Callithrix jacchus: one gene and its partners. The protein of the gene in region 4 interacts with the protein of the main gene of each other region in a pairwise test. Links are inferred from orthologs where the notes say so. Each region holds a gene or a part of one and is shown on either strand. Other genes may lie near its edges. The genes, in order: RAB29, TNNT1, LENG1, LDOC1, PEG10, ZBTB16 and CTNNBL1.

What was found.
Region 1: the proteins of LDOC1 (region 4) and RAB29 interact in binary tests that used the Homo sapiens proteins (3 or more experiments, as listed by UniProt). The two-hybrid records come from large-scale screens. The link is inferred for Callithrix jacchus from reciprocal best matches to the Homo sapiens genes LDOC1 and RAB29.
Region 2: the proteins of LDOC1 (region 4) and TNNT1 interact in binary tests that used the Homo sapiens proteins (3 or more experiments, as listed by UniProt). The two-hybrid records come from large-scale screens. The link is inferred for Callithrix jacchus from reciprocal best matches to the Homo sapiens genes LDOC1 and TNNT1.
Region 3: the proteins of LDOC1 (region 4) and LENG1 interact in binary tests that used the Homo sapiens proteins (3 or more experiments, as listed by UniProt). The two-hybrid records come from large-scale screens. The link is inferred for Callithrix jacchus from reciprocal best matches to the Homo sapiens genes LDOC1 and LENG1.
Region 5: the proteins of LDOC1 (region 4) and PEG10 interact in binary tests that used the Homo sapiens proteins (3 or more experiments, as listed by UniProt). The two-hybrid records come from large-scale screens. The link is inferred for Callithrix jacchus from reciprocal best matches to the Homo sapiens genes LDOC1 and PEG10.
Region 6: the proteins of LDOC1 (region 4) and ZBTB16 interact in binary tests that used the Homo sapiens proteins (3 or more experiments, as listed by UniProt). The two-hybrid records come from large-scale screens. The link is inferred for Callithrix jacchus from reciprocal best matches to the Homo sapiens genes LDOC1 and ZBTB16.
Region 7: the proteins of LDOC1 (region 4) and CTNNBL1 interact in binary tests that used the Homo sapiens proteins (3 or more experiments, as listed by UniProt). The two-hybrid records come from large-scale screens. The link is inferred for Callithrix jacchus from reciprocal best matches to the Homo sapiens genes LDOC1 and CTNNBL1.

Annotation. Positions count from the first base shown.
Region 1 is NC_133520.1:33,292,759-33,297,240, reverse strand, and holds the start of RAB29 (ras-related protein Rab-7L1), read left to right. Parts: upstream 1-1,366; 5' UTR 1,367-1,432; exon of another isoform or gene 1,433-1,862; 5' UTR 1,863-1,864; coding exon 1,865-1,988; intron 1,989-2,001; exon of another isoform or gene 2,002-2,209; intron 2,210-4,482. UniProt on the Homo sapiens protein: The small GTPases Rab are key regulators in vesicle trafficking. Essential for maintaining the integrity of the endosome-trans-Golgi network structure.
Region 2 is NC_133523.1:48,010,620-48,015,122, forward strand, and holds the start of TNNT1 (troponin T, slow skeletal muscle), read right to left. Parts: upstream 2,826-4,503; 5' UTR 2,774-2,825; intron 1-2,773. UniProt on the Homo sapiens protein: Troponin T is the tropomyosin-binding subunit of troponin, the thin filament regulatory complex which confers calcium-sensitivity to striated muscle actomyosin ATPase activity.
Region 3 is NC_133523.1:47,340,216-47,344,753, reverse strand, and holds the start of LENG1 (leukocyte receptor cluster member 1), read left to right. Parts: upstream 1-1,483; 5' UTR 1,484-1,506; coding exon 1,507-1,638; intron 1,639-2,685; coding exon 2,686-2,865; intron 2,866-3,776; coding exon 3,777-4,039; intron 4,040-4,538. Other genes in the region: voltage-gated chloride channel TMC4, read left to right, coding at 25-155, 252-407, 664-742, 837-905.
Region 4 is NC_133524.1:138,057,579-138,061,288, reverse strand, and holds LDOC1 (protein LDOC1), read right to left. Parts: upstream 2,175-3,710; 5' UTR 2,045-2,174; coding exon 1,607-2,044; 3' UTR 770-1,606; downstream 1-769. UniProt on the Homo sapiens protein: May have an important role in the development and/or progression of some cancers.
Region 5 is NC_133512.1:54,928,930-54,932,745, reverse strand, and holds part of PEG10 (retrotransposon-derived protein PEG10), read left to right. Parts: intron 1-314; coding exon 315-1,515; coding exon of another isoform or gene 1,516-2,663; 3' UTR 2,664-3,816.
Region 6 is NC_133511.1:13,736,443-13,740,755, forward strand, and holds the start of ZBTB16 (zinc finger and BTB domain-containing protein 16), read left to right. Parts: upstream 1-1,473; 5' UTR 1,474-1,642; intron 1,643-4,313. UniProt on the Homo sapiens protein: Acts as a transcriptional repressor. Transcriptional repression may be mediated through recruitment of histone deacetylases to target promoters. May play a role in myeloid maturation and in the development and/or maintenance of other differentiated tissues.
Region 7 is NC_133506.1:33,214,972-33,218,787, forward strand, and holds part of CTNNBL1 (beta-catenin-like protein 1), read left to right. Parts: intron 1-79; coding exon 80-152; intron 153-391; coding exon 392-450; intron 451-1,926; coding exon 1,927-2,075; intron 2,076-3,816. UniProt on the Homo sapiens protein: Component of the PRP19-CDC5L complex that forms an integral part of the spliceosome and is required for activating pre-mRNA splicing.

The DNA of each region.
Region 1 (4,482 bases), on a different chromosome or scaffold from region 4:
GGAGCTATTTTTGTGGTGATGTAATAAGAGGGAGGATGTGACCGGACATCCAGGTGAAGGCATCTTTTGGGAAGCTGAATATCACTGATCGAAGATAAAGAACAAATAAAGTGAAGATAGATCTTTCACACCAAGGACAATTCACTCAAGAGTTTGTAGAATGATTGTCTCAGAGACCAAGAATCAAGCTTTAGGAAACACTTAGAGGGAAATGGGATGGAGAGAAACCTCAGAGAAAAAGATAATCATCAGAGAAGTAGGAGGATGAAAAAGAAAGAACAGTGTCCTAGAAGGCATATGGGAAACAAATGTCAAGGAGTGGTCAGCTATGTCAAAGCAAATAGCAACAGAGAAAACTGGATCCTTAAAGGTGAGTAGCCTGGCCTAACCTCCTGTGCCTGGGCAACAAACATTCTGGGCAAAATATATTGTGGACCATGCTCATGCTCTTTCCCCACAGAACATAAGTGATAGCCTCTCTATCAAGAGACCTAAGCAAGACTCCATAGTGTCTGGTCCTGGGCTGTTCACATGGCCTTGCTGGTTCTCTTCCTCAATTCCTAGAAAAAGTATAGAAAATGGAACTCTCTTTGCTTGCCATTGAGCTCATGTCCTGCCAACTCCTACCTAAATGACAGGCAGGTCAGTAAAGTTACAGGCTGAGAAATTAGAATTATTTGTCAAACCCTAGTTTTATGATGATCTGTTAACAACAGCCACAACAAATCAGCGATTCCCAGTGTATTTCAATTAGCTTCTAGCTCAAATGATACATGAATAGCATGGTTAGAACAGGCATTGTAGAAGTATGAATGGGGACTGTCTTCTGTTTTCTGTCTATCTTTATTGTTATTGCTGGATATTAAATGCTGTAACTTTTGGCATAGGTTTTTCCAAGGAATGGTCTCTTGGGTCAAATTTCCCTGATCTTGCCTGGTATTGGGCACGTTCATACGGAAAATATGATTAATTTCACGAGGTCCTGGGCTTGTCTGTCTATTTGAAGGAATAGGAAATGGACTTCACTTGGAGCATTATCTATGATGCTTGGGCTTTTATTAATGAAATAAGTTTTAATCTTAACTACGCAAAACCTTTAAAGACAGGAGAAAACTGTCTGGGGACAGATTCAGGCCAGTGAGATCACGTTGCACAAATCTCTTAAGGGATCTTTACTGACCCAGAACCGTTTCAAAATAAGATTCCGAACTGTTGAAGGAGTTTGAAGCCCTGAAACATTGTGTAGGTTGGTTTAAAACAAAAAAAATGAATACACTACATTTCCTAGGAGGCTTCGCGGGTAAGCCTCTGCACTCGGCTAGTTCTCTCTACCGCGAGGATAGTTGGGAAATGTAGTGCTCCAGGCAACCCTGCACGTGACGCTTGCGGAGGAAGGCGAGAGAGGCGCGGGAGGGGGGTCAAGGGAATCAAGGTGCCGGCTGCTTTTTCCTCACAATTTGATTTGTGCAGCAAGGGGAGGGTCCTCATCATCTGGCCCCAGTGGTGTAATGAGCTGACTGGGATTCAGTTGCTGGCTTGGAGCCGCTCCGGGGAAGTCCCGGTGGGTGAGGTTCCGCAGCGCCTGGTCCCGTTTCTCGGCAGTCGGGTAGGGGGGTAGGGGGGAAGGTGCGAACAGCCGGGGCACGGAGCTCGCGCCCTGCGCCCCACCCAGGTTGTGGCTGCCCGGGGAGGAAGCGCACATAGGTTGAGTGCAAAGTTTCCTTTTTTGCTTTCTCGTCAGAGCAGCCCTCACAGGCGGTGGGTGGGAATGCCTCACTTCAGTTTGAAGAGGGTCCGGAGCCAAAGGGGTTAAAACAAGCTACTTCCCACTTTCCGCCTCTCTAAAACGCACACTCCGCTAGCCATGGGCAGCCGCGACCACCTGTTCAAAGTGCTGGTGGTGGGGGACGCCGCAGTGGGCAAGACGTCGCTGGTGCAGCGATATTCCCAGGACAGCTTCAGCAAACACTACAAGTCCACGGTGGGAGGTGAGACGTCTCTGGGGGGAGGAGTCGGAAGAGGCCCCGACCGCGGACTCGAGCTGGGGACCCAAGTGGGATGGGGATTTGCAGTCGGTTGTTGGGTCCTTCGGGCCAGGAAGTAGTGTCTGGGAATCTGGATGGAGTAATTGTTGGGTATTTGGTTTACACGCCTCTCTTGGGTTTCCCCAGTTCGATTTTCCTAACCTGAACCTACTGCCTGGAGAAAGGTAAGAGCTAAGGAGTGACGATGAGAATAGGGAAGGGAGGCTGAGGATGAGCAATTGCTGTTTATTGCGAGCTCACTGTGAACGCAAGTCTCCTGCCTCAGCCTTTCAGCTGTCAGGGGCAAATCTCTCCAGTCAGCAGAAGCAGCTGAGATCCTCTCCTCTGTAGGGCCTCCTGGTTAGCTGCAGTCTGGGGCTGTTGTCCTGCCCCTCTCTGTTGAGGAAGGAACCGCAAGGTGTTTAACCTGGCTTCTGGGGGAGAACGCAGGAAGCAGAAGTGGTCGGAAGAACTTTAGCTCAGTTATGGGGCTGTGGGTGGGATGGAAGACACAAAATCCCCAAACAGGCTCCTTGGCTACGCAGTCAGATGCCCGTGAGGGCTGATGAGCTGTTTTTGTCCGTTGATTGCTTAAATAAAGGTAACCAAGGAAGTCTTCGAAGAATGTGAAATATACCACTTCTCTGATCTATCTTCCCACCACTTTTCCCCTCAAACTGGAGAAGGTAGGGAGGAAGGGAACACCGTCATTTCTTTCTCGGGCGTAGCCTTTGGACTCAACTGTTTTTTCAGAGGTAGAATTGCCTTATTGTTAATTAGAAGGTATTTAGCTAGAAAGAGCTGGTGATGGGGGAAGAGTAACTTAAAATTTTATTTAGGCCTGGCGTGGTGGCTCAAGCCTGTAATCCCAGCACTTTGGGAGGCCAAGGCGGGTGGATCACGAGGTCAAGAGATCGAGACCATCCTGGTCAACATGGTGAAACCCGGCTCTACTAAACATACAAAAAAATTAGCTGGGCATGGTGGGGCGTGCCTGTAATCCCAGCTACTCAGGAGGCTGAGGCAGGAGAATTGCCTGAACCCAGGAGGCAGAGGTTGTGGTGAGCCGAGATCGCGCCATTGCACTCCAGCCTGGCTGCAAAACTCCAGCCTGAGAGCAAAACTCTGTCTCAAAAAAAAAAATTATCTCTGTTAAAATAACTTAAGGGGAGGAAACTTGTACTAATGGAAAAATTGAAAATGTGTGCTCGTGTTCATATGGAAGTTTAAAAAGAAATTAACAAGCATTTACATTGCAACTGAAACATTCTCCTTAAGAACCCCCAGCAGGGCTGGGCACAGTGGTTCACTCCTGTAATCTCAGTACTTTTGGAGGCCAAGGTGGGCAGATCATTTGAGGCTAGGAGTTCCAGACCAGACTGACCAACATGGTGAAACCCTATCTCTACTAAAAGTACAAAAAAATTAGTCGGGCATGGTGGCACACGCCTGTAATCCCAGCTACTTGGAGGCTGAGGCAAGAGAATCTCTTGAACCCGGGAGGCGGAGGTTGCAGTGAACCAAGATCGCACTACTGGACTCCAGTCTGGATGACAGAGCAAAGACTCTGTGTCAAAACAACAAAACAAAAAAACAGTAGGGCCCAGTGAGGTGGTTCATACTTGCAATCCCAGCACTTTAGGAGGCTGAGGCAGGTGGATTACTTGAGACCAGCCATGGGAAACATGGCAAGACCCCACCTCTACAAAAATTAAAGAAAAAAGTAACTGTAGTCCCAGCTACTCGAGAAACTGAGGCGAGAGGATTGCTTCAACTCAGGAGGTCAAGACTTCATTGAGCCCTGTTCACACCACTCACTGCACTGTAGCCTGGGCAACAGAGCAAGACACTGTCTCAAAAGCAAAAGAATAAAGAAATTTACGTCCGGCAAAATTAAAGATTTAACGTTTCAGACGCTCTATCTTGACCACTCAGCCCTCCCACTCCTAAATAACATAAGGTCCCGATTTCACAGATTTGAGTTAAAAGTGTCCTCCTATTAATAGTTAATTTTTAATAATTGCTATAGTTTTCCTTTAGCAAAGAACATAATTAACTCTGGCTAATTTTTTTTCAGTGTTTATTCTAAATTTCCCTTAGCTTTGATTCCTGTCACAGATGTGAAAGATAATGTTTCCAAACCTCAGTAATTACTGTTTCTCTCCTTATCCAAAAGCTTTCCCCGCAGAATACTCACCCAGCCTTAACTCAAGGAGTGTCAGCATTTGCAGACTTGGTGGTAGATTCAGCAACATCCATGCAGTGTCTTCATCCTGGGACTCCTCTGGGACCTTTTCCATTTATTCCATTCTTGCCCAAGATAATACCTGCAAAAGTGTGGATGTAGAGTTCCCCAGGGTGTGTTCTTCTCATAATACAATTTGATTAGAAACCAACAGTGAAATTGAATGTGGATGATACAAAAGCAACCACACTTATCTCATTTCCCCCTTCTCCC
Region 2 (4,503 bases), on a different chromosome or scaffold from region 4:
CTGCGGCCTGGACTCCTGGGTCTGAGGGGGGAGGCGCTGGGGGCCTGGACTCCTGGGTCTGAGGGAGGAGGGGCTGGGGTCTGGACACCTGGGTCCGAGGGAGGAGGGGCTGCGGCCTGGACTCCTGCGTCTGAGGGAGGAGGGGCTGGGGTCTGGACCCCTGGGTCCGAGGGAGGAGGGACTGGGGTCTGCACTCCTGGGTCCGAGGAGGGAGAGGCTGGAGTCTGCACTCCTGGGTCTGAGGGGGGAGAGGCTGGGGTCTGGACTCCTGGGTCCGAGGGAGGAGGCGCTGAGGGTCTGGACTCCTGGGTCTGAGGGAGGAGGGGCTGGGGTCTGGACTCCTGGGTCCGAGGGAGGAGGGGCTGGGGTCTGGATTCCTGGGTCCGAGGGAGGAGGGGCTGGGGTCTGGACCCCTGGGTCCCAGGGAGGAGGCGCTGAGGGTCTGGACTCCTGGGTCCGAGGGAGGAGGGACTGGGGTCTGGACTCCTGGGTCCGAGGGAGGAGGAGCTGGGCTCTGGATTCCTGGGTCCGAGGGAGGAGGGGCTGGGGTCTGCACTCCTGGGTCTGAGGGAGGAGGGGCTGCGGCCTGGACTCCTGGGTCCGAGGGAGGAGGGGCTGGGATCTGCACTCCTGGGTCCGAGTGGGGAGGGGCTGGGGTCTGCACTCCTGGCTCCGAGGCGGGAGAGGCTGGGGTCTGCACTCCTGGGTCCGAGGGGGGAGAGGCTGGGGTCTGCACTCCTGGCTCCGAGGCGGGAGAGGCTGGGGTCTGCACTCCTGGGTCCGAGGCGGGAGAGGCTGGGGTCTGCACTCCTGGGTCCGAGGGGGAGGGGCTGGGGTCTGCACTCCTGGGTCCGAGGGGGAGGGGCTGGGGTCTGCACTCCTGGGTCCGAGGCGGGAGAGGCTGGGGTCTGCACTCCTGGGTCCGAGGGGGGAGGGGCTGGGGTCTGCACTCCTGGGTCCGAGGGGGGAGGGGCTGGGGTCTGGACTCCTGGGTCCGAGGCGGGAGGGGCTGGGGTCTGGACTCCTGGCTCCGAGGGGGGAGGGGCTGGGGTCTGCACTCCTGGGTCCGAAGGGGGAGAGGCTGGGGTCTGCACTCCTGGGTCCGAGGCGGGAGAGGCTGGGGTCTGCACTCCTGGGTCCGAGGGGGAGGGGCTGGGGTCTGCACTCCTGGGTCCGAGGGGGAGGGGCTGGGGTCTGCACTCCTGGGTCCGAGGCGGGAGAGGCTGGGGTCTGCACTCCTGGGTCCGAGGGGGGAGGGGCTGGGGTCTGCACTCCTGGGTCCGAGGGGGGAGGGGCTGGGGTCTGGACTCCTGGGTCCGAGGCGGGAGGGGCTGGGGTCTGGACTCCTGGCTCCGAGGGGGGAGGGGCTGGGGTCTGCACTCCTGGGTCCGAGGCGGGAGAGGCTGGGGTCTGGACTCCTGGGTCCGAGGGGGGAGGGGCTGGAGTCTGCACTCCTGGGTCCGAAGGGGGAGAGGCTGGGGTCTGCACTCCTGGGTCCGAGGCGGGAGAGGCTGGGGTCTGCACTCCTGGGTCCGAGGGGGGAGGGGCTGGGGTCTGCACTCCTGGCTCCGAGGCGGGAGAGGCCGGGGTCTGGACTCCTGGCTGTCTCAGGAGGACAGGCCCTGGTAGGTGTGGTCTGAGGCACAGCCCGGAGGCTGCAGACCCTGCCCCCCTCAGCACAGCTGTTCTCTTTTGTCTTATGACAAGCCCATGGGAACCTGATCCAGCTGGGATTAGGAGGAGGCATTTGAGAAGGGACAGTGGCCTGAAGACAATAGCTGCCCCACCCCCAGGAGCTATTTTGGGGGGATGTCGTAGATGGTGAAACAGAGGACATTTCCTAAGAAGGGATTTGAGGAAGGGGGGCTTCTGGGAGAGCTGGTCACCTGCATCCCTCTCCCACCCACCCCTCCCGCTGGCTGCTTTCCTCCCCACCTGTCTCCCCTTTCACCTTCCCATACATCACACGGGGCGGGGGGGTTGGGGCAGCGCCCAAAGGGCACCTTCTGTCCACAGACCTCACTCTGACCCCTACATTCTTAGACCCCGAAGTCTTCAAGACATCCTAGGCCACAGGGTGCCCATCCCCAAATCCCAATACCCATGGATTCTGAGACCTGGATTTTTGGTGCCTGTGTTTCTGAGACCACAAGTCCTCACAGCTCCAGATTCTGACAGCCCATTTCCTGATGGTCCACATATGGGCCAGGACATCCTAAGACCTCCTAAATTCTGAAGCCTCGAGAATATGAGACCCCCCCAAAACCTTGATACCCAAACTCGGAGGCCCAAATGATGACGCCCCAGATAATGACACTCCAGGTGGTGATGGTTTCTATCCTAAACCTCAGATTCTGAGGCTTCCACTCCTAAAACCCCAGATTCTGAGACCCCGCCCCAATTCCTGATACCCTCAGAGTCTGAGCCCCAAATCCTGATACCCAGACTGTTTGACCTCCAAGTCCAGATGTCCCTGACTTCTGAGCTTTCCCCCAAGACCCCCAGAACCCCAAGATCTAGGTGGTTTTATTCTGGGACACCCAAGTCCTGGCAGCCCCAGACTAGGATCTCTGTAACCCACAAATCCTAATATTTTCCCCTCTATCCCAAGTCCCCCTAAAGTCCGAGCCTCTCAAGTTCCGAGACCTCCAGTTGTATTCCCCATGTACCTCTGCATGATTTCTCCACACCCCACATCTTCCCCACCTGCCTCCTGCCCCCTCTCCCAAGGACACCGTCCGTGGAGATCACAGGGCCCAGCAGAGCCCCTTACCTATACCTAGGCTGCGTCTGAGATCCTGTGAATCTTGTGGCTGAGCCTCACCACGGGCACTGAAGCTCCAGGGGTTTTATAGCTGGAGGCTGGGCCCCGCCCCGAGGGGAGAGGGAGGAGGAGAGAATTCCTTTGCTCAAACACAAGTCTGGGAGCTCAGAGACAGCCCTGCTGTTCCTCTCGTTTTTCAAACTAAGGGTCCAAATGCCTCCGTGGGCTCCTCCCCAACCCCATCAGCGGGGCCCTGGAGCCCTGCTCCCACCCCCAGCCCCAGGCCCCCACGGTGCTCCAGCTACCTCCCTTATAGCTGCCTCCCTGCATTTGATGTCCCAACGTCCAGCACACAGTAGGTCCTTGGAGAACCTACTAATGACAAAAAGGCTATAAGGAATGTTTCCAGTTTTCCTCTCTGTTCCCTCTTTCTGGACCCGTTTCTGTGGTCTCTGTGGCTCTCCATCTGTGTATCTCTATATGTCTGTCTCTGCTGCTTAGTCTCCCCCTGTGTCTGTCCATCTTTCTGTCTCCCCACCCCCACCCCTTTGTCTGCCACCAGGATTCCATACTTGTGACAACAGGCACTAAAGCCAGGAAGCAGGTGTTGGGGGGAGGGGAGGGGAGGATGGGGTGTCAATTAGGGTGGAAACCTACCCTCTCTCCCCCCGTCCATCTGACACTGATCTTTTTTGGCATCCCCCTCCCTCTTCCCAGCCAAGCCACGACCTTGAACTCCAGGTTCAACCAGCCCTGGAGAGCAGACTTCCTCACCCTTCACGCCTCTCAGTGTCTGTCTCCTGTGGTATCAGTCTTTGTGTGTTTCTATGCATTTTCTGGGGTCCCTCGCTGGCTCTCTGTCTTGGGCTGTCTCTGAATCTGTCTCTTTCCGTGACCCTCAGTGTGTTTCTTGGCAAATGTCTCCAGGTGGTTTTGTCTCTGCATGTCTGCCCCTCTCTGCGTTTGTGTCTGTGGGGGCTCACAGTCTCTCTGTGCATTTCTGTCCACCTGAGACCCCATATCTGTGTGGGTAACCCCTTTCTGGGCACCAAGGAAGGAGAGCTAAGCAGACCCCCGGCACGATTAGTGCCTGAAGAATATCTTACTGCTCACTCCTCACTTATTTCCTTTTATATATAATCTCTTCATAGATAATCATGCCTTAGTTTGTAGTTGGAGGAATGTCTAGAGCAGACACACTGCAGAGCATGAACTAGGGAAAAACAGCCACACCAGGACAAGAATCAATGACCCAGGCGGTAGAGCCCCTGCCTGAAAGGGCAAGCGCTACGTGGCAGGTCTGCCCAGGTGGCAGCGTTCGGGTATGGTAATGACACCCGCTGTATGGCAGGCTTGCAGCAAGAGTCACTCCTCCTGAAAGGGAGTTGTAGTATCTTGTGCAGAGTTCTTGTGGAAAGCTGGCCTCAGGCTGGCAATCCCTCCAACGTCCGAGGGCTTAAAACCCATCCATATAATCACGCCTAGGTGGCTGTACAGCCTGTCAGCGCTCTCGCCACTGTGCTGGCTCGGAGCATCCTCCTATAAAAATTCTTAGAAGTAGGGCCGGGCGCGGTGGCTCAAGCCTGTAATCCCAGCACTTTGGGAGGCCGAGGCGGGTGGATCACGAGGTCAGCAGATCGGGACCATCCTGGTCAACATGGTGAAACCCCGTCTCTACTAAAAAAATACAAAAAATTAGCTGGGCACGGTGGTGCGTGCCTGTAATCCCAGCTACTCGG
Region 3 (4,538 bases), on a different chromosome or scaffold from region 4:
TTCCTCTGTGCCTTCCCCTGCCAGCTCACCCTCTTCTTCACCTGCTCTCCGGCTGCCCGCACGTTCCGGGCCTCCACAGCGAATTTCTTTTTCCCCCTGGTCCTTCTCCTGGGTCTGGCCATCTCCAGCGTTCCTCTGCTTTACAGCATCTTCCTGTAAGTGCGAGAGGCTCCTGCCTCTTTCCCTCCCTCTCCCTGCGTTCAGCGTTCAGACTCCTGGCTCTACGTGAGCCCAGCCTATCTTGACTTCAGGATCCCACCTTCTAAGCTATGTGGTCCATTCCGGGGGCAGTCGTCCATCTGGGCCCAGATCCCTGAGTCTATTTCCAGCCTCCCTGAGACCGCCCAGAACTTCCTCTTCTTCCTGGGGACTCAGGCTTTTGCTGTACCCCTTCTGCTGATTTCCAGGTGAGTTTGCCCAGACTTCTGGGTCTGGGTTTGAATGCACGTGATCTGGGGGCCACCACCTGCGTCGGAGAGAGGAGAGGCTCGGGGTGGGAGGAGGCCTAGGGTCCAAAGGAGGAGGAGGAGGAGGGTGGGACTTAGGACTCCTGGGCTGGGAGACTGAAGTCCTTGTAGATGACATCCTGGCTTTGAAGGAGCCAGGGGTTTGTATAGAATGGAGGAGCGTGTCAGGAGTGGCTTCTGTTCGTGTCTCCTCCAGCATCCTGATGGCGTACACTGTGGCTCTGGCTAACTCCTACGGTCGTCTCATCTCTCAGCTCAAACGTCAGAGAGAGACGGTGAGCCAGGCGGGTCCCTGAGAGGGACCCCGTGGGGGACATTGAAAGGCATTGGGGGAGAGGGCTGTCTGACCTCCACCTCTCTTTGCCTCAGGAGGCGCAGAACAAAGTCTTCCTCGCACGGCGCGCTGTGGCGCTGAGCTCCACCCACCCGGCTTTTTGACCCCTGCAGCCCATGTCCCACCTTCAGACTCCAGGCCAATTGTAAGCCTAGGTCACATCTGTAAAACTAGGAGAACTAGAGAAGACCCCACGCTCTTCCAGCTCTAGGATCTGGAGGTTTCCAGAGACCCTCGCCGCCACGTCCCAGACTCTCGGGTGATCTTTCTTCTATGAATAAACACAGCCGAGGTGACTGAGCGCGCTTTGAAATCTGCGTCCTGAAGGTGGGGGCAGGGCTACATCAGGGCGGGAGCCAATCAAATGCATGGGAATGTGTGGCCGTTCGAAGTGCTCTTCCGCAAGGAGACTTGATGGTTGTGTTGGCCAATCGGCGGCCGAATCTGGCATTAGGGGAGGGCCAACTTGCGATTGGCTCGGATATGTGAAAAGCGGTTGCTAGGGGATACCACGCGCCAAAAGCCTGGCATTCGCTGAGATAAAGGGCGTCTTAGCCAATCACCTGTCGTTACAGGCCAGGGGGCCGTACCAATGAGTTAAGAACCAATCTGTGGTCGAAGTAGGGACAAGAGGGAAGGGGCATTCTCTCGCCAATCGGAAGTGCAGAGAGGCGGGCGTGCCAGTCCGTGGACTGCTACGACGCCATGAATATCTTGCCCAAGAAGAGCTGGCACGTCCGGAACAAGGACAATGTTGCCCGCGTGCGGCGTGACGAGGCCCAGGCCCGGGAGGAAGAGAAGGAGCGTGAGCGGAGGGTGCTGCTGGCTCAGCAGGAGGTAAGCCTGGGAACCGGCCGGGCGGAACTCCGGGGCCCAGCGCGCAGGCGCCATGGTAGGGGGCCGGAAGTGGACGCGTTGCGCAGGCGCCGTGTGCCCCGTATGTAATTCGTGACCCGGCGCGGACCTCTTTTCCGAAACGTTGCTCGGCAAACGTTGTGCCCACTTGCATGAAATCTCCCTTGATCGCCCCCTCGTCTTGTTTCCCCCCACTGATGTATTTCACATGGCTAGAGCAGTGTCTAGCACAAAAGAGAAGCATAAATGTTTACCGAATTCAGGATTCCTTGGACAGTTTGAGGAAATTCGGATCACTTTCTAGTTGGCTTGCACAGTCTATTTATTGAGCAGTTACTGTATGCTAACTGCATGCAGAACGCCTGACTTCCAGAATCCCCCTTAAGCACCGTTCTTTCTTAAAGAGGCATTGTCATCTCCGTGGCACGAAGTGAGATGGCGTCAAGGGAGGGGAAGTCTCCACCCCCTTGGGCGAGCCCTTTCCCTGCACCACCCCCAGACACACACACAAACATGGGCTTTATGTATAGCTCCTTAAATCTGTTTGGTGTACACCTAACTTTCAGTTCCTTAGCCAGTCTGATCCTCCACACTGGGAGGGAGGTAGTCTGGGTTTTTAGAATCTCAGTAGGCTGCTGAGAGCTTTGTCCTGAAGGTGGGAGACCGGGCTTCATCAATGGACTTGGGGTAATGACTTGGAGCCATGCCTGGAATCCAGATCATCTGACCTAATGCAGTTTGTTCTACCTTTATAGCTGTTTTAATTGTCTCACTTGAGGTTAGGAACCCCTTTGGTTTAGGCCAGGGACCTCCTCCCAGCCATCCTTGATGTGTGGTTTACTATTTGAAAGGCAGTTTACAAAACCCAGGTGTTGCCTTATCTGCCTACCCTCACCCCTGCTAGGACAGGTGCCCCCTTTCTTACAAACCCAGCACCCTGGACTGCTGTTTCCTGTGGTGCGCACCAGACTTAAAAGTTCTTGAATTACCTTTAGGTTTTTAATGTCTTGCCTGTAACTTTCTCCCCAGGCCCGTACAGAATTCCTACGGAAGAAAGCCAGACATCAGAACTCACTGCCTGAGCTTGAGGCAGCAGAGGTGGGAGCCCCAAGTTCTGGCCCTGTGGACCTGTTTCGAGAGCTGCTGGAGGAGGGGAAAGGCCTGATCAGAGGCAATAAAGAGCACGAGGAAGAAAAGCGACAGGAGAAAGTAAGCTGGCCTTATCTACTTCATCAGAGACATGAATGGAGCTGGGGGGAGGGACACTTTAGCCATTGGTTGTGACTAAGGCTAAACAAGAGTGAACACTCAGAATTTAGAACCATACCAAAGCACACTCAGAAGTGGTGGCTGTTGCCATTTGGGTGCCCTCAGGGCTTGGAGGTAGATGCTCGAGATCCCCAGCTGCTAGGTGAACTGCTCAGGTCTCCAAACTGGAGGGGTCTCAAACCTGATGAGCTTTTAAAAATCTAAATCAGCTTGGTGGTGGCTCATGCCTGTAATCCCAGCATTTTGGGAAACTGAGGTGGGCAGATCACCCGCGGTCAGGAGTTCAAGACCAGCCTGGTCAACATGGTATCTCTACTAAAAATACAAAAAAAGTTAGCTGAGCATGGTGGCATGCACCTTTAGTCCCAGAGGCTGAGGCAGGAGAATCGCTTGAACCCAGGAGGTGGAAGCTGCAGTGAGCTGAGATCGTGCCACAGCACTCTAGCCTGGGTGGCAAGAGTGAGACTCAATCTCAGGAAAAAAAAAAAAAAAAAAGTGAATCAATCACTTCTTGCCTTTTGGCTAAGATCGAGTGTAAAAGCTCCTGTTCCTCACCTGCTGTCTCTGGACTTGCTGACCCCACCCACGGGTCCTCTTGCTTTGCTTGCTCCCTGCAAAGATGCCTGCCTCTGAACATTCAGGCAGCTCCACCCCATCCCCTCCTTCCTCTGCTTTCTGTGACTGTCCCTGCTATCGTCACCCCAGGGCAGGAGCTTGGCCTCTGCTGGTCTCTTCCCTCCCCAGCACCTGGCACAGCTGCTTCACCATAGGCCTTAGATACCTGTGTCAGGGAGATAAACCTGACACCCTGAAAGATTATATCCCATCTCTTTTATTTCCTGACCCCTCAGGAGAGACAAGAGAAAGCTCTGGGCATCCTGACATACCTGGGCCAGAGTGCAGCCGAGGCCCAGACTCAACCCCCTTGGTACCAGCTCCCACCAGAGCGAGGGGGTCCCCCGCCTGGCCCAGCCCCAGATGAGAAAATAAAGAGCCGCCTGGACCCTCTGCGGGAGATGCAGAAGCATCTGGGGAAGAAGAGACGGCACAGCAGTGATGAAGGCAATCACAGCAGAAAGGAAAAGGATGGCTCTGAGACACAGCGACCCAAGGGGTGAGGAGGAGGACCCTGCCCTGGCAGAGCAGGACCCAGATCTTCAGGGCTTGGCAGCAGCCTGGCACAGGCACAGCAGGAGCTCTGGGTGGAACAGCCAGGGACCCCGTGAAGGGATGGCTGGGTGGAAAAGTGGTTCTCACCATGTGGTCCAGGGAGCCCTAGGGGTCCTGACTCCCTTTCCGGGGGGTGCCGTGGTGTCAAGCCTATTTTCCTAACACTGTTTGCCTTTCACACTCATTCTCAGGCAGGTAGTGCAGCTTTCCAGAGGCTACATGATGAGAAGACACCCTCACTGTGATGACTAATGGCAGATACTTATGTCCAAGTTTTCTTAGTTTTCACTTCTGATTTGCATGATATTAACAGAACCCATTGAAACAAACGCTCTTGGGACCCCCTTTTTAAGAGTATAAAGGGGTCCTGGGACCAAAGAGTTTGAGAACCACTGGGTTAGAGAGTAAGAGCAGGCTTCTATCCCCAGGATACTGTCCCGCCG
Region 4 (3,710 bases):
GCTCACCGCAACTTCCGCCTCCTGGGTTCAGGCAATTCTCCTGCCTCAGCTTCCTGAGTAGCTGGGATTACAGGCATGCGCCACCATGCCCAGCTATTTTTTTGTATTTTTAGTAGAGACGGGGTTTCACCAGGTTGACCAAGATGGTCTTGATCTTTTGACCTCGTGATCCACCCGCCTCGTCCTCCCAAAGTGCTGGGATTAGAGGCTTGAGCCACCGCGCCCTGCAGAAATATTTGTTAAGATCAGGGTTTATCTTTATGGGTACACGTGCCCAGGATCCAGGATTTAATGTTAGCTGGAGCATCTGAGAGTGACATAAAAGCAATATACTATGTTGGCTATTTGGAGCCTGAACTCAGCAGCTACACATAGGCAATAAGGATTAAGGGGCAGAACTTCCCTGGTACAGTGTTAAGGAATCTGAAAGCTCAGATAATTGGGAGCATTACATCTCTCTCTCTCTCTCTCCCCCCTCTTCCAGGTTTATGACTGTTGTTATGGTCTAATTATTAATACTGCCTCTTTGCCATCTGCTCAGCCAAGCCTTACCCATGCCATTCTGGAGGAACCAGAGGACATACCCTTTGCCAGGGCTTTATGAAATACATTGGTGAAGGGAACATCAGAACACTGACAGAGCCCTGAGGTAGCTGTCGCCAACAGCCTGGAGATGACAGCGGGGAACCCTGATTTCCATGGGAATAATGGTAGACAGAGTGACAGTGTTGGAGGCCAGTGACAGCACTTAACCATTAAAAGACAATCATTTCTTTTTTTTGTAGTGCTTGATATTTATTGAAAATAATGCCAATGCTTTTTCCAGGTAGTATTGAGGAGCTGGGCTGAGTGCTTGCTTTGTTCTTAGTATTATTTGTCCAAATGCACACATCTGGGGGACTGCTGCAATTTTGAAAGTAAAGTGACAGCTGTGTAAAACCAATGCATAGGAAAAAAGAAATGTCAACAATTTGGCTGCCAGGCACACCAAGCCCCTGCAGCAATCTGGTGGGGCATGGGAGGACCCTCAGAGTGGGTAGAAAACTAACCAGGCTGAATGATTGGCCCCTTCATGGGTTGGTGAGCTGTCCGAATCAATGTCCGAAGAGGTATAGCCAACTCTGGCATCTTCCAGGTTGGTCCTTACTTCGAAAGGCGGTAGTATGTAGGTGGGATGTGGTGAGTGGATGTGAAGTGGCAGCATAGTTCTCTGGGCAGATGTAAGCCTGGCAGTAGGGTAGGTGGCAGCAGCAGGGCTATGGGTGGTATGACCAATTTATAATGGGGGCATGGCCAATAACTGGGGCTCAGGACACAGTTCGGATTAGCAGGGGAGGGATTCAGGGGCTGGCCAGGGTAGATGACACTTCCAAGCATTTCCGAGTGAGTGAGGCTTCAGCCCCAACCCCAGCAGCAGGTAAATGGAGCACTATTCCTGGAACAAAGACAAGCACTACGGAGAAACGAAGAGAGAGAACTGAAGGGCGCGAGTAGGGAAGGGGACCAGAGGGCAAGGCGGAGAACAGTGGCTCCCGGCGGGGTGAGGGCTGGAGAGAGGGGGTGGCGGCGTGCAGGGCCCTCCCCGCTAGGCCTGAGGGTCTAAGGCCTAGTAATCATCCTCTTCGTCGTCGTCGTCGTCTTCATCGTCATCCCAGCCAAAGCACTGTTTCATCTCATCGAGGAAGGCCCGGTAATCACCTAGGATGGGGCTATCCATCTCGATGTAGGGCACCACCCACTCCTCGGCTTCCCCGGTGAGGAGGCTGATTAGGAATGCCACCTTCATGGCGTCGTTGCAGAATCGGTTCTCGTTCACGAGCATGTAAGACGCCGTCTGCACGATAAACTCGGGGAGCCGGGAACTCTCGCCATTAAACGTTTCGGGGAAGGGCACCGGGCAGCTTGGCGGACGTACCTGGCGCAGCAGGCTGGCCCTCTCGCACACCAGCAGCCGCAGCTGTTCCATGAGCTGGCTGTTCTCGATGCTCAGGGCGCGGTGCCGCATCAGGAGCGCATGCAGCAGCAGCACCAGCTCATCCACCATGGCGAACGGCTTGGAAGTACAGGGCTCGGCTCGGTGCGGCTCGGTGCGGCTCGGCTCGGACAAGGTGCGTACGGAGGCCTCGCAGGAAGTGCTTGTCCACCAAGGCGCGCGAGGGCCAGGGGCGGGGGGCGGGGGGGCGGTGCGGTGCGCGCCGGAGTCCGGGAGGCTACGCAAGCCCCGCCCACGCGGCCTTTCGGACGGACGGTGCGCCGGCGCGGCGCGGGAGGGGCGTGGCCAGGCGAGGGGCCGCGGAAGCGTGGGGGCGTGGCCGGGATGGGAAGAGTGTAGACACACAGGGCTTGGCTAGGACTAGGATGCGCTGGGTTGCTGAACCACCGGCTTGTCGTAGCCCTCTAGGCGGGCAGTTAAAGGCTGCGGTCGGCTGTCAGAGCTCCTGGATGTGGGGCCTGAATTAGCAGAGGACCTGGCGAGCGCTGAATCCGGTCTCAGAGAAGGTACACTTGTTCAAGCTGAAAAGATTAACCACTCTTCTACCTAGCCAACTCGCACAACTCAGTGTTCCTTCGTGGGTCTGTGGCCACTAAATTCTCTTGGCGCGATGTTTTATTAACACATTTTCTTTCTTGTTTAAATCTCACTTAGCGAAGTATTGACACTGCTGGCTGCACTGTGGAAGTCACACTTCCTTTCAGGGTCATGAAGACCCTCAGGGGGTCCTGCCTTTCATGAAAAAGGCAGTATTTAAACAGTGACTTATTTAATTGGGAAATAATATGATATACCTACCTTAAAAAAAAAAAAAACCTAAATAGCAAGATATAAAAAGTTCTGCAAAATCAGCATCCGATAACCAATTGCAGGCATCCCACACATTTTATTCTCTATTTCTTGTTCTGCTACTAGTGCCATTGGCCACTGGGTATTATTCTCTACTTAAAAATGAACTGTGAAGATGTGAGTGTTTATAAATAATTTTCTTTTTCTACTTTAAATGGATCTCTGATCCTAGAGCTATCATGAATTATTGGCTCTGCTTTCAAATATATTGCCAATTCAATCATGTCTTGCCATTTCTACCACTGCCACCCTGATCCCCACCCAGCCTTTCTTTCTCACACACTGCTGCAACTAATCACTTAGCTTTCGCTTTTTTCTACCTATAGTATATTCTCCATAAAGTAGCCACGGGAATCATTTAAAACAAAAATTAGATCCCTTCACTCCCTTGCTCAAAATCATCCAAGTTTCATCTCAGAATAAAGAGCAAAGTTGCAGCCAAGGTCTACAAAGCCCTTCCTTCTATCCTATGCCTCTTCCCATTTTCTGCTATGCTCTAATCACTGTCCTTGCTGATTCTCACACACGTCAAGTAGTTCTGGCTTTGTAGCCTTTGCACCTTCTACCCCTTCTGCCTTGCAAGACTTGTCCCAGTTGGCTGCCTGACTCCTTCACCTACTGCTTTCAAAGAGAACTTTTCTGGCCACCGGACCTATCAGAGAACCCTGTTCTCTGCCACCAATCTCTAACCCTTGACTCTGCTTCATTTATCTACATAACATTTACTGTGCTACTGGCCAACATGTCAAATAGCACTTTGCTCATCATCTGCTTCTATTTTGCAATATATGTGTCAAAGAAACACTGCCTTTGCTACCTGCTGTATCCCTAATGCCTAGAAAAATTCTGGCCCAGAGCCAAGGCTTCA
Region 5 (3,816 bases), on a different chromosome or scaffold from region 4:
GGAAACTACTTGTTTAGAGGCCTTAACATTCTCTTATAGTTTATAAAGGTAAGCATGCTGTTGATAATATATTATTGAATCATAATCAACAGGTGGTCTTTGAGAAGGACAAGGTCATTTGAACATCAAAAAGTAGTTTGCTTTTTGTATGGTGCTGATTGATAACTTCCCTTTGAGAGTTTGTTTTTGTTTGTTTGCTAATTATTAAAGTAAGCACATAGAACAAGGGATAATATAAATATCAAATCCTTTGTGTCTACATTTTGCTGCTTTGAAGGTATAAGTTAGATTTATATGTTTATCTTTATTTACAGAAATAAGCGCGTTTTGAAAACAAAAAAAAGAAGGAGTGGAAGAGGGGGCCAGGATCCAGGCCTCCATCCCCACAGAAGTGAAGTTACAGCTGGGAGGTCTCCTCCCACCCCAACCGTCACCCTGGGTCCCGACTGCCCACCTCCTCCTCCTCCCCCTCCCCCCAACAACAACAACAACAACAACTCCAAGCACACTGGCCATAAGAGTGCGTGTGTCCCCAACATGACCGAACGAAGGAGAGATGAGCTCTCTGAAGAGATCAACAACTTAAGAGAGAAGGTCATCAAGCAGTCTGAGGAGAACAACAATCTGCAGAACCAGGTGCAGAAGCTCACAGAGGAGAACACTACCCTTCGAGAGCAGGTAGAACCCACCCCAGAGGATGAGGATGATGACATCGAGCTCCGCGGTGCTGCAGCAGCTGCTGCCCCACCCCCTGCAATAGAGGAAGAGTGCCCAGAAGACCTCCCAGAGAAGTTTGATGGCAACCCAGACATGCTGGCTCCTTTTATGTCCCAGTGCCAGGTCTTCATGGAAAAGAGCACCAGAGATTTCTCAGTTGATCGTGTCCGTGTCTGCTTCGTGACAAGCATGATGACCGGCCGTGCTGCACGTTGGGCCTCAGCAAAGCTGGAGCGCTCTCACTACTTGATGCACAACTACCCGGCTTTCATGATGGAAATGAAACATGTCTTTGAAGACCCTCAGAGGCGAGAGGCTGCCAAACGCAAGATCAGACGACTGCGCCAAGGTATGGGGTCTGTCATCGACTACTCTAATGCTTTCCAGATGATTGCCCAGGACCTGGATTGGAACGAACCTGCACTGATTGACCAGTACCACGAGGGCCTCAGTGACCACATTCAGGAGGAGCTCTCCCACCTCGAGGTCGCCAAGTCGCTGTCTGCTCTGATAGGTCAGTGCATTCACATTGAGAGAAGGCTGGCCAGGGCTGCTGCAGCTCGCAAGCCACGCTCACCACCCCGGGCGCTGGTGTTGCCTCACATTGCAAGCCACCACCAGGTAGATCCAACTGAGCCGGTGGGAGGTGCCCGCATGCGCCTGACCCAGGAAGAAAAAGAAAGACGCAGAAAGCTGAACCTCTGCCTCTACTGTGGAACAGGAGGTCACTATGCTGACAACTGTCCTGCCAAGGCCTCGAAGTCTTCACCGGCGGGAAACTCCCCGGCCCCGCTGTAGAGGGACCTTCAGCGACCGGGCCAGAAATAATAAGGTCCCCACAAGATGATGCCTCATCTCCACACTTGCAAGTGATGCTCCAGATTCATCTTCCGGGCAGACACACCCTGTTTGTCCGAGCCATGATCGATTCTGGTGCTTCTGGCAACTTCATTGATCATGAATACGTTGCTCAAAATGGAATTCCTCTAAGAATCAAGGACTGGCCAATACTTGTGGAAGCAATTGATGGGCGCCCCATAGCATCGGGCCCAGTTGTCCACGAAACTCATGACCTGATAGTTGACCTGGGAGATCACCGTGAGGTGCTGTCATTTGATGTGACTCAGTCTCCATTCTTCCCTGTCGTCCTGGGGGTTCGCTGGCTGAGCACACATGATCCCAACATCACCTGGAGCACTCGATCCATCGTCTTTGATTCTGAATACTGCCGCTACCACTGCCGGATGTATTCTCCAATACCACCATCGCTCCCACCACCGGCACCACAACCACCACTCTATTATCCAGTAGATGGATACAGAGTTTACCAACCAGTGAGGTATTACTATGTCCAGAATGTGTACACTCCAGTAGATGAGCACGTCTACCCAGATCACCGCCTGGTTGACCCTCACATAGAAATGATACCTGGAGCACACAGTATTCCTAGCGGACATGTGTACTCACTGTCTGAATCTGATATGGCAGCTCTTCGAGATTTTGTGGCAAGAAATGTAAAGGATGGGCTAATTACTCCAACAGTTGCACCTAATGGAGCCCAAATTCTCCAGGTGAAGAGGGGGTGGAAACTGCAAGTTTCTTATGATTGCCGAGCTCCAAACAATATTACTATCCAGAATCAGTATCCTCGCCTATCTATTCCAAATTTAGAAGACCAAGCACACCTGGCAACGTACACTGAATTTGTACCTCAAATACCTGGATACCAAACATACCCCACATATGCCGCGTACCCGACTTACCCAGTAGGATTCGCCTGGTACCCAGTGGGACGAGACGGACAAGGAAGATCACTGTATGTACCTGTTATGATCACTTGGAATCCACACTGGTACCGCCAGCCTCCGGTGCCACAGTACCCGCCGCCACAGCCGCCGCCTCCACCACCACCGCCACCGCCGCCTCCATCTTACAGTACCCTGTAAATACTTGTCATGTCCTTCAGGATCTCTGCCCTCAAAATTTATTCCTTTTCAGCTTCTTAATCAGTGACTGTGTGCTAAATTTTAGGCTACTGTATCTTCAAGCCACCTGAGGCACATCCTCTCTGAAACGGCTACAGAAGGTCAGCGCCACCCTGGACTGGCACACATCCTAAAGCACCAAAAGACTTTCAACATTTTCTGAGAGCAGCAGAGTATTTGCCAACGAATTATCTCTCAGTTTTCCACCTTGACTACCAATCTAAAATAATTAATAAGTTTACTTTCCAGGCAGTCCTGGAAGTCTGGGTTTTACTTACTAAAACCTCTATCATCATCTAAATTATAGGCTGCCAATTTTCTTGTTTAACATTTACAGAGAAGCTGATACAAATGCTGATTTCTTCATGGAGGGGGAGACAAGGAGGAGGAGGTGGAGGAGGACATGACTTTTCTTGCAGTTTCAGTACTCTCTTTACATCACTAGAGGACCGAGTCCTTATTAAGGAAGCCAAAACTATTGGTGCAGTGTGGAAAGGCTTCCGTGATCATCCTGCTGCACCCTTAGAAACTTCACCATCTTCAAACTCCATTTCCATGGTTCTGTTAATTCTCAAGGAGCAGCAACTCAACTGGTTCTCCCAGGGGCAGGCAAAACCCTTGCTACATGAAACACCTCAGGCCCTCTCAGATGGACTCTTGTATGTTAAGAGTGTGCCATCACATCGTGGTGCAAATCGCATGTACCCAAGGACTCTGGCTTTGACACACACCTTACCATCATCATGCCATAATGGCTTCCACAAAGCATTAAACCTGATAACCAGAGATTACTGGTGGTTCCAGGGGTGTTAGAGGTTTGTGAAATGTGACCACCTCTCAATCACCTTCGAAGGCTAAAGAGTGGCAGATCAAAAGGACTCCAAAATCCCTTACCCACCTTTTAAGAGACTTGTCCTGGTACTTCAGAAAGAATTTTCATGAGTGTTGTTAGTTGACTGGAAAACCACCAGCTGACGTTTTGGAAGTATCTATCCATGTGTCTGCCTCCATATGCATCTGGGCATTCCATCTTCAGTCCCTTCATTAGACTGTAGTGTTAGGATGCATGGAGACAGGGGAAATGATTTAGCACCCAGATTCACACTCCTATCTT
Region 6 (4,313 bases), on a different chromosome or scaffold from region 4:
TCTGGGGCAGTGACTTGCCTCCAGTCAGCAGCAATGCCAGAGGCAAGCATGGATATGTGATTCTAGGTGAGTCCTGCGGAAAACCTTTGGCCCACCCACGAGTCATGGACGGAAGCTTAGGCCTGGGTGATGTAAGCTCCACCTTGCTAAAACCGCGTGACCTCGAGGGCTGACTAGCCTGAGACCCCTGCATGGTGTTCTCGGCCACCCCCACCTCCCACCCCAACCTCCTAGGCTTCAGTCAGAATCCACAGCCAGTGCCTCTGGCCCCCTATCTTCACTCAGCTCCAGAGAAAAGCGGGGACAGCAGCTTTCTGCGGTCAGAGGAAGGGTACATTTTCTTTTTTTATTTTCCAAAAAATTTTTTCCCCTTTTTTTACCTTCACATGAGCAGAGGAAGGAAAGGTACATTTTCTTTGGCTGCTCTACCCTCTAAAGTAGGGCGGCCAGCTGAGAGGAGGACGCGCTTCTGAGGGGCCCAGAGCTTTTCCAAGCTTTCCCCTGCCCCCTGAAGACTGTGTGCTGAGCTGGGGGCAGTTCTAGAGAACTGTTTCCACCCAGATTGCTCTGTATGTGTGTGTGTGTGTGTGGGGGGGGGGGGGGGGCAGAGCTGAGAGGTTGTCCAAGACTAGGAGAGATAAAAGTTTCTCAGGACTCGACCTTGGCCTCCAGCAACCGCGACATCTAAAAAGGGGCGTGTCGCTTCGACAGTAGATCCCAGCGGACCTTATGGCACCAGGTTCACCAGGGCCCGCGAATTCTGCATCTGGAGACTTCTTGAAATCCGGATGCTCAAGCCGGGAGGCGCGCAGTAGCCAGAAGGATGGGAAGCCCAGGCTTGGGCTAGGAAAGCGGCCTTTTAAAACTGATGTCAGGGGCCCCTGGGAACGCAGCCCCGAGCCAAGAGGAAGAAAGTTAAAGGCGAGATGACACGCACTGAATTGGGCAAAGATTGGAAAAGGGGACAAAACTGCGTGCTTGAGCATCGGAGTGCGGGGGAGGGGGCACAAACCCGTATCCGATAGAAATTAAAATCCTGGGAGTAGGTGGGGGCTGCTGCGCGCCCTTCACCCTCGGTGCCCCCATTAAGGGTTCCGAGTTCCCTGCACTCCTGTCCTCTAGCTCCCTGCTTTCTCTCTCCTCGGCCGGTGAGCGGCGGCCGCCGGCGCCCCAGCAGCAGCTAGATGTCAGGCGAAGCCCGGAGCGCGGAGCGCGGGGAAGGGAGGGGAGGGGAAAGGAGGGGTGGGGCGGGGAGCGCGCGCGGGCTTGGCCAGTGCGGGGTGGTGGGCGGGCTGAGCCCGGGGACGGCGCGGGAGGGGGGAGGGAAGGGGGGCAGCTGTGGGCAGGGAGCCGGGCTCGGCCGCCAGCACTAAAGATGGAGAGGCGCCGGGGCCTTGCAGGGGAGGGGGCTCGGCGTTGACGTGGGACGCGGCGGAGGCGCAGCAGCCGGTGGTGATTTGCTAACCTCGCAGCAGAGAGGAGTTGAGGGCGATGAGAGCGGGTACTGCGAACTGCCGGGCGATGCCGTCGCTGCCGCCGTGATACGGAGAGCAACAGTTCCCCAGCAACACCCCTCCCCGACACAGGCACACACCCCCCGACAGGCACGCACACCCACCCCACAGTGCCCGGCTCGGCTGCGGTGAGTGAGGGGCCGGGGAGAGGCGCACCGCCCAGCGAACGCCGCGCGCCGAGCCCCCCCGGGGCTGGAGAGGTCTGGGGGGCGCGCGCTCGCTTCGGCCACTCGGCCGCTGGGCTTGTGCCTTTTTTATTTGGCGTGTTCCCTTACTGCCGCTGCAGCCGTCGCCACCACCGGTTGGGGATCGGCTGGAAGGGGGAGCCCCGGCTGTCAGCCTGGGCGCAGCTGCCTCCGCAGCCCTTCCTCTCCGGGGCACGGTCGGGGTGAGAGGTGGGGGGCGTAGCGGTCTGCGGGGGCTGAGGGCGTGAGCAGAGGGTCGGGGATCTGGAGGCTTTGTACTGCCAGGGGCGGGCAGAGGAGCAGAGCCCGTGGGTGCTCTTATGTTTGCCGACCGGTGCGCGGGCGCGAGATAAGGTTGTGGTTTATTTATTTGTGTGTTTATTCGCCGGCCGGCTGGGAAGCTAGAATTGGAGAAGCTGACGAGTAGATGCGGGGGCGGAGGAGAGCAGGACTGGGACGGCTTACGTTTTGTTTCTCTTTGAAAAAACGTGGTGGGCTTTTTCTTGATTAGACTTGATCCCCCTTTTGCAGGGGAGGGAGGGAAGCTCCAGAGGGTTTCCAGCGCTCCGGGCCCTCCTCGGCTCTCGGCGGGACGGGCGGTGACGCCGGAGCTCGCCGTGCGCTCCCGGCCGCTCTCGGTGGGTGCCAGGCTCTGCACCTGATGCGTTCGGGATGCCTTTCCCACCCTGGCGCGCCCGCCGCTCGCTCGCACAGCGCCTCGCACACTCCCGCACGCGCTGGAAATGCGCACGGTCCCGCCGGCCCGCGGACCCACCGAGACGCACAGAGCGCTCCGCACCGACTCGCTCGCCGGCTCCCGAGCCGCTCGCACCGAGCCTGGGCCGGGCGCGCCGGCCGCTAGCGCTGTTGGCCCGAGGCCCGGGACCCAGCCGGTCCCTCCTGGGGGTCACGGCCTTGGGTCGGAGAGGGAGGGCCGGCAGACCCCTTCTCGCCTTTCCTCCCACAACTCGCTGCGGGGCTTTTGTGCTTCCCCTTCGCCGCGGGGCGGGTCCGCCTCCTGCCGCCGCGTAGTCCTGCCCGCCCGGGCTGTGGCTTTTCCTCCCCGTCTCTTTCGCTTTCCCCTGCCCCTAGTTCAGCTCTCCTTCTTTCAGGTGTCTAGCTCTTCGGGAAAAGTTGCTTCCCCAAGTTTGCTGAAGTCGTTTCCAACTCTCGGTGGGGGTCGCTGGGAACTGGGGGCGTGTGAGAGCGCAGTCGATCCTGAGGCTCTGGCGGGTTAGCGCCGGCTCTCCCTGCGCCGCCCGGCTGGACGCTGCAGCCAGCTCCGGCCAGATCGCAGGCGCTGAGCGGTGGGTGGGGAAGACGGCTGCCTGAGGGTGCCCCGATTTCCCTCAGGACCCAAACGGCTTGTTCTGGGGCGCCAAGCATCCATTCTTTTGGCTGCTCTCTCCTAGTTTTCAGAAGTCCCGATGTCTGCGGGAAAGCACGAGGTGGAGAGGCTCGGCTGAATGGTCATCCCACCCTTGGCGGCCTCCATCCCCACCCCGGGGTGGGCAGCAAAAGTGTCTTGATCAGGCGTCCTGTGAATCCTTTCTGTGTGAGCGTGGAGGCTCCTGAACTGATAGAGCTCCTTCTGGGGGTGGAGGCAAGTAAGCAGTGTTTGAAGAGTGAGGGAGAGACCTTGCTGTTCCTTGCTCCCAGTTCATTCACTGCAATATTGGCCGCTGCAAGGCAGACACGGGGAGGGCCCTGGGCCTGGGCGGTCTTTCTAACACTCCTTAAGCGGGATTCGGAGTACAGGAGCCCTCTTATTGATCCTGAACAGGCTCAGGGAGAGGCCTTTGTTTCCCAGCCCTGTCTTCCCTTCGTACTGGTTATAACTCACACCACAGATGCTGGTGCCAATACCACGTCCGGAGCCTCTGAGCCATGGCCAGCATCCCTTGCTGCCCCTGGTCACAGGACTTGCAGACTCCTTGGAGCCTGTGGGACACACGTGGAGTTCACACACCCAGCCCAGCATGAGCACTCCTGGCTGTAGGGGCGCATATTTACTACCGGCTCTCTCCATACCTTAATGACTCATCCTTCTTTGTTTTTTAGATCCTCCTGTCCACTGCTCAGTTATGGGTAGGAGGGTAGGTACAGCACCTTATGTAAGTGTGTGTGTACACCCACTTTTTTTTTTTTTTTTTGAGATAGAGTTTCACTCTTTTTGCCCAGGCTGGAGTGCAATGGCGTGATCTTGGCTCACCACAACCTCCACCTCCCAGTTTAAGTGATTCTACTGCCTCAGTCACCTGAATAGCTGGGATTACAAGTGTTAGCTACCATACCCAGCTAATTTTGGATTTTTAGTAGAGATGGAATTTCTCCATGTCGGTCAGGCTGGTCTCGAACTCCCGACATCAAGTGATTCACCCACCTCGGTCTTTCAAAGTGCTGAACTTAAAGGCGTGAGCCACTGCCGCCCAGCCCCACACATCTTTCTCTTTGTCTCTGGCTGATGTACATATACGCATACAAACAGTCCAGATTTTAGATTACATATTCAATAACTTTGAGTCTTCCGTGGATAGAAATGACCCAAGTTAGTGTGTGGGTTGTGTGTGTGTTCCTGTTAGTACCCTGAGATGGGGGCAAGGCTTGGGTCTGC
Region 7 (3,816 bases), on a different chromosome or scaffold from region 4:
ACAAATTTATGAAAAATTTGTCCTGGGGAAGGAATCAAGACCCCTTAACATTTTTCTCATTTCTCCTATTTCTCCATAGGCAAAGATGCCTTTCGATGCCAACAAACTGTATTGCAGTGAAGTGCTGGCCATATTGCTCCAGGACAATGATGGTGAGGCGCCCTCTCAGTATTGATATTCTGTTAGGATAGGAGCCAGGCTTGTTTCAGATCATGACAGCAAGCTCTCTTGCCTTTGGCATCCCCTTGCTCTCCCTCTCGCTCCCTGTGCTGCTTTTGTACTCTGTCAAGCTGTATTGATTTTGTTTGCTGATGTATCAGTGTTAGACGGCTGTAAAATCTGACAGTTAGGTTCATTTTTTTTCTTCCTCTGTTTTTTTCCCCCCTTTTAGAAAACAGGGAATTGCTTGGGGAGCTGGATGGAATCGATGTGCTTCTTCAGCAGTTATCCGTGAGTAATTCTTATGCTTCCTGTCTGCTGCAAGATATATGGCCTGCTTTGAATGGGAGGTGGAGCTGGAAATTGTGGGAAGGAATAAGCCATGTGCTGCAAGCCATATGGAGCATGTTGGCAGGTTTGAGGGTTATATGGAGGGATGTGGTTCGCCTCCTTTCCTTAGTCATTTGCTCTTTATGACCAGACATCACTGTGTACTGGATATGGACTCTCTTTGTCTTCTGATATGATATTGTCAATTCAAAAAAGATGTGCCTCCTGCTTAAGTGTGTGTGTTCTGGGCCAAGCATACCAAATTATTTTCATTTGACCCACTCCCAAGATTATTCACCAACTTTCCTTGCAATCTGCTGTGAAAACGGAGTATGTTCATTTAGGATCCAAATGAGCTCAAGGAGTACAAGTTCCACTGCAGTAGGGTGGGGGTCCAGGGGAGGATATAGGAGAGGATGTGATGCTGAAGGCTGGTGTGAGAACTTGGAAACTGCCATTTTCCAACTGTAAGAAATGTAAATCCAGTTGAAATGTTATTCTGCTGGCATTCTGAAAATACCATTAAGATTTCCTCTTACAAACTTCATCTGTGTTATTCTAAAAACAGGATCGAAAATAGATCACTTGGATAAAATCTTAAGAGTGTTGGGAGAGTCTGAGATGTCAGTTTGCATACAGCTTCCATCTTGGTGCCAGCAGCCTGAGTGGCTTGGCCTCCACCCCAAAAATAGAGCTTTGAAATGTGAATTTGTTTCCAATTCTGGGAATGTGCTTAGTCCTTTTCCTGTGAGATGATTGATCTTCTCATAGTAGATTGTATGGATATGCATCTATGGTTCAAAGGCTTCTGTTAACATGCCTTACATCTCTGGCAAAAGGAAAACTTCTGTAAGCCTTTCCCATGAATTAAAGCCCCAGCTCCCATGTAAGGGAATTGAATAGCCTTGATTGTCAGGAAATGCCTTCTTATATTGAGCCACAATTCACCCCTCTGGATTATGGTTGCTTCTAGAAGGGAAAAATATGAGACATGGTTGGGTTGGGCAAGTGGAGGGCTTTGAGGGTAGTTGGCAAAGTTATTTCTCATCCTGGATAATGGTTTTCGGGGTGTCCACTTTATTCATTTAGTTCTATATGTACTTTATGGATTTTTTCTGTATCTGTATTATATTTTACAATAAAAAGGTTTTGGGTTTTTTTTTGGTTTTGGTTTTTTAAAAAATCTGCTTGCCTGGAGCTGTCAATTACTGATGGACCCGGTGGTCAGTTGAGTGTTTTGGTGGGTTTTTTGCATTTATTTATTATATGTGAATCATTTCATTTCTCTAAAATGGAAACTGATGAGAATTTTGTTTGCTGAGCTTCTGTTTCCTCAACCATAGAGTTATGACCCACAGGTTTTAGAAATGGTTGGGTGGCGGCTCATGAAAAGACATTCTCTTACAGCTCTGTGCTTTGTGGTGTTTTGCTTGACAGGTGTTTAAAAGACACAATCCCAGCACAGCCGAGGAGCAGGAGATGATGGAGAATCTGTTTGATTCCCTTTGCTCCTGTCTAATGCTTAGTTCCAATCGTGAGCGCTTCCTGAAGGGCGAGGGTCTTCAGCTGATGAATCTCATGCTCAGGTATGTTTCGAATACCCTATTTCTCCCAATTTTTTTGCCTCACTTTAGCCTGAATTCAAGAGCATGTAGCTATGGTCATTTATTCTGTTGAGTTTCCTCGACTAAATCCTGAAGAGTAAAGACTTCAGGCATGGGGATGTGTTTATGTATGTATGTGGTCTTTCCTAAATGGGTTTTTTTTTTTAATCCTTCCCATAACGTGTTAGTTTTTGGGAAATCTAGCCATTACTTCTAAACTTGGAGCAATTTTCTGTATATATCACATAGACCTATCTATGCCATATGTTTGTCTGTATTTTTATTGAAAGCAATATATCCTTCATGTTTTTCATTCCTCATTCAGTAATGAGTTGTACATGTGCTGTATGCCTAGCATAGGAAATATGAAAATGTTTAAGATAGTTCTAGAACTTTCATTTATAGTACTTTCCTTATACATCTTATTATTTATAGGCTAATGCCTGAAAGTGGATATCATATTAGTTTCACAGTTATTTTATAGAATCCTAAAGTCAGAAGCAAAAAGGGGAGAGGAAGCTTATATTGATAACTCCTGAGACTCTGTCTAGGAAAGGGAGTAGAGAAGTGTATGGGGGAGGGCTGAGGGGATAACCAGAGTGTGGTGTAGGGTCAAGGGACTTTTTTTAAAAAAAATTGAGCATGTTTATATGGTTGGAAGATTCTAGTTATTATGAAATGGTGCCCTACAGAAGGAGCAGGACTGAGATTTAAAAAAAACAAGAAAGAAGTTGAGCCAGAGTCTGCTGTCTTAAAACTTCAAGCACACTGAGAGTTCTGTTGAACTAAGATATTTATTTGAAAAGGTTTTTCAGAAATGTGACATATATTTTCTAAACAGAATTTGGAATACAAACATACAAAACTTCTATGAAAACATCGATAAGGTACTTGCTAAGGGCTGGGCCTACACAGAAATATGTAAGACAGAATTTCTGTCTCCATGAAGTTAGAAAAACAGTTCTGTGACCCAAACACAGCCTGTCTTTGGGTATATGTTTTCTTCTAGTCTTTTTTCTATAATTTCTACCAATTTTTTAAGCCTGCCACACATACAATTTTCTATATGGCTATTTTGTAAACATCACATGCTGTTTCCCATGCTGTATATAATCTTCATGAATTTTCAGTAACTCCATAATGGCCTTTAAAGGGACTGTAGCTTAGTATTCTTCTGTTGTTGGCATTGAGGATATTTCCAATGTTTTGACGTTATAACAAATTCTACGACCATTTTTATGTTTAATGTTAGGGTTATCCAGGTATAGTAAGTCCTCACTTAACATCATTGATAACATTCTTGGAATCCACACCTTTAAGTGAAATGATATATAATGAAACCAATTTTTCTCATCAATGTTATCACGGTGTTATTTGAGGATCTGACCTGCTGTATCTTGTTTCACTTAAAATTGCAGTTTCTAAGTCTGTCTGTGATGTTAAGTGATGACTTACTGTGTATGTTTCTAAAATATCTTATATTTAAAAGGCTTCTGGAGGGCTGGAGGCACAATAGATCTCTTCATTTGTCCGGTGTGTACCAGACCTTGCATTGACCAAAAGTCTTCCTTTGAGTAGTTGCTTTTAAAAACATTTTTTTTTAAGTGCTAGAGGGACATGAGAAATTACTCAGAGGGCTTTTGTGTTTAGCTGATTTGTGCTAGCTTTGCTCTCTTGAGTCTTCTGTTTGTTTATCTCCCTTGCCCTTCTAATTGCTTGTCCT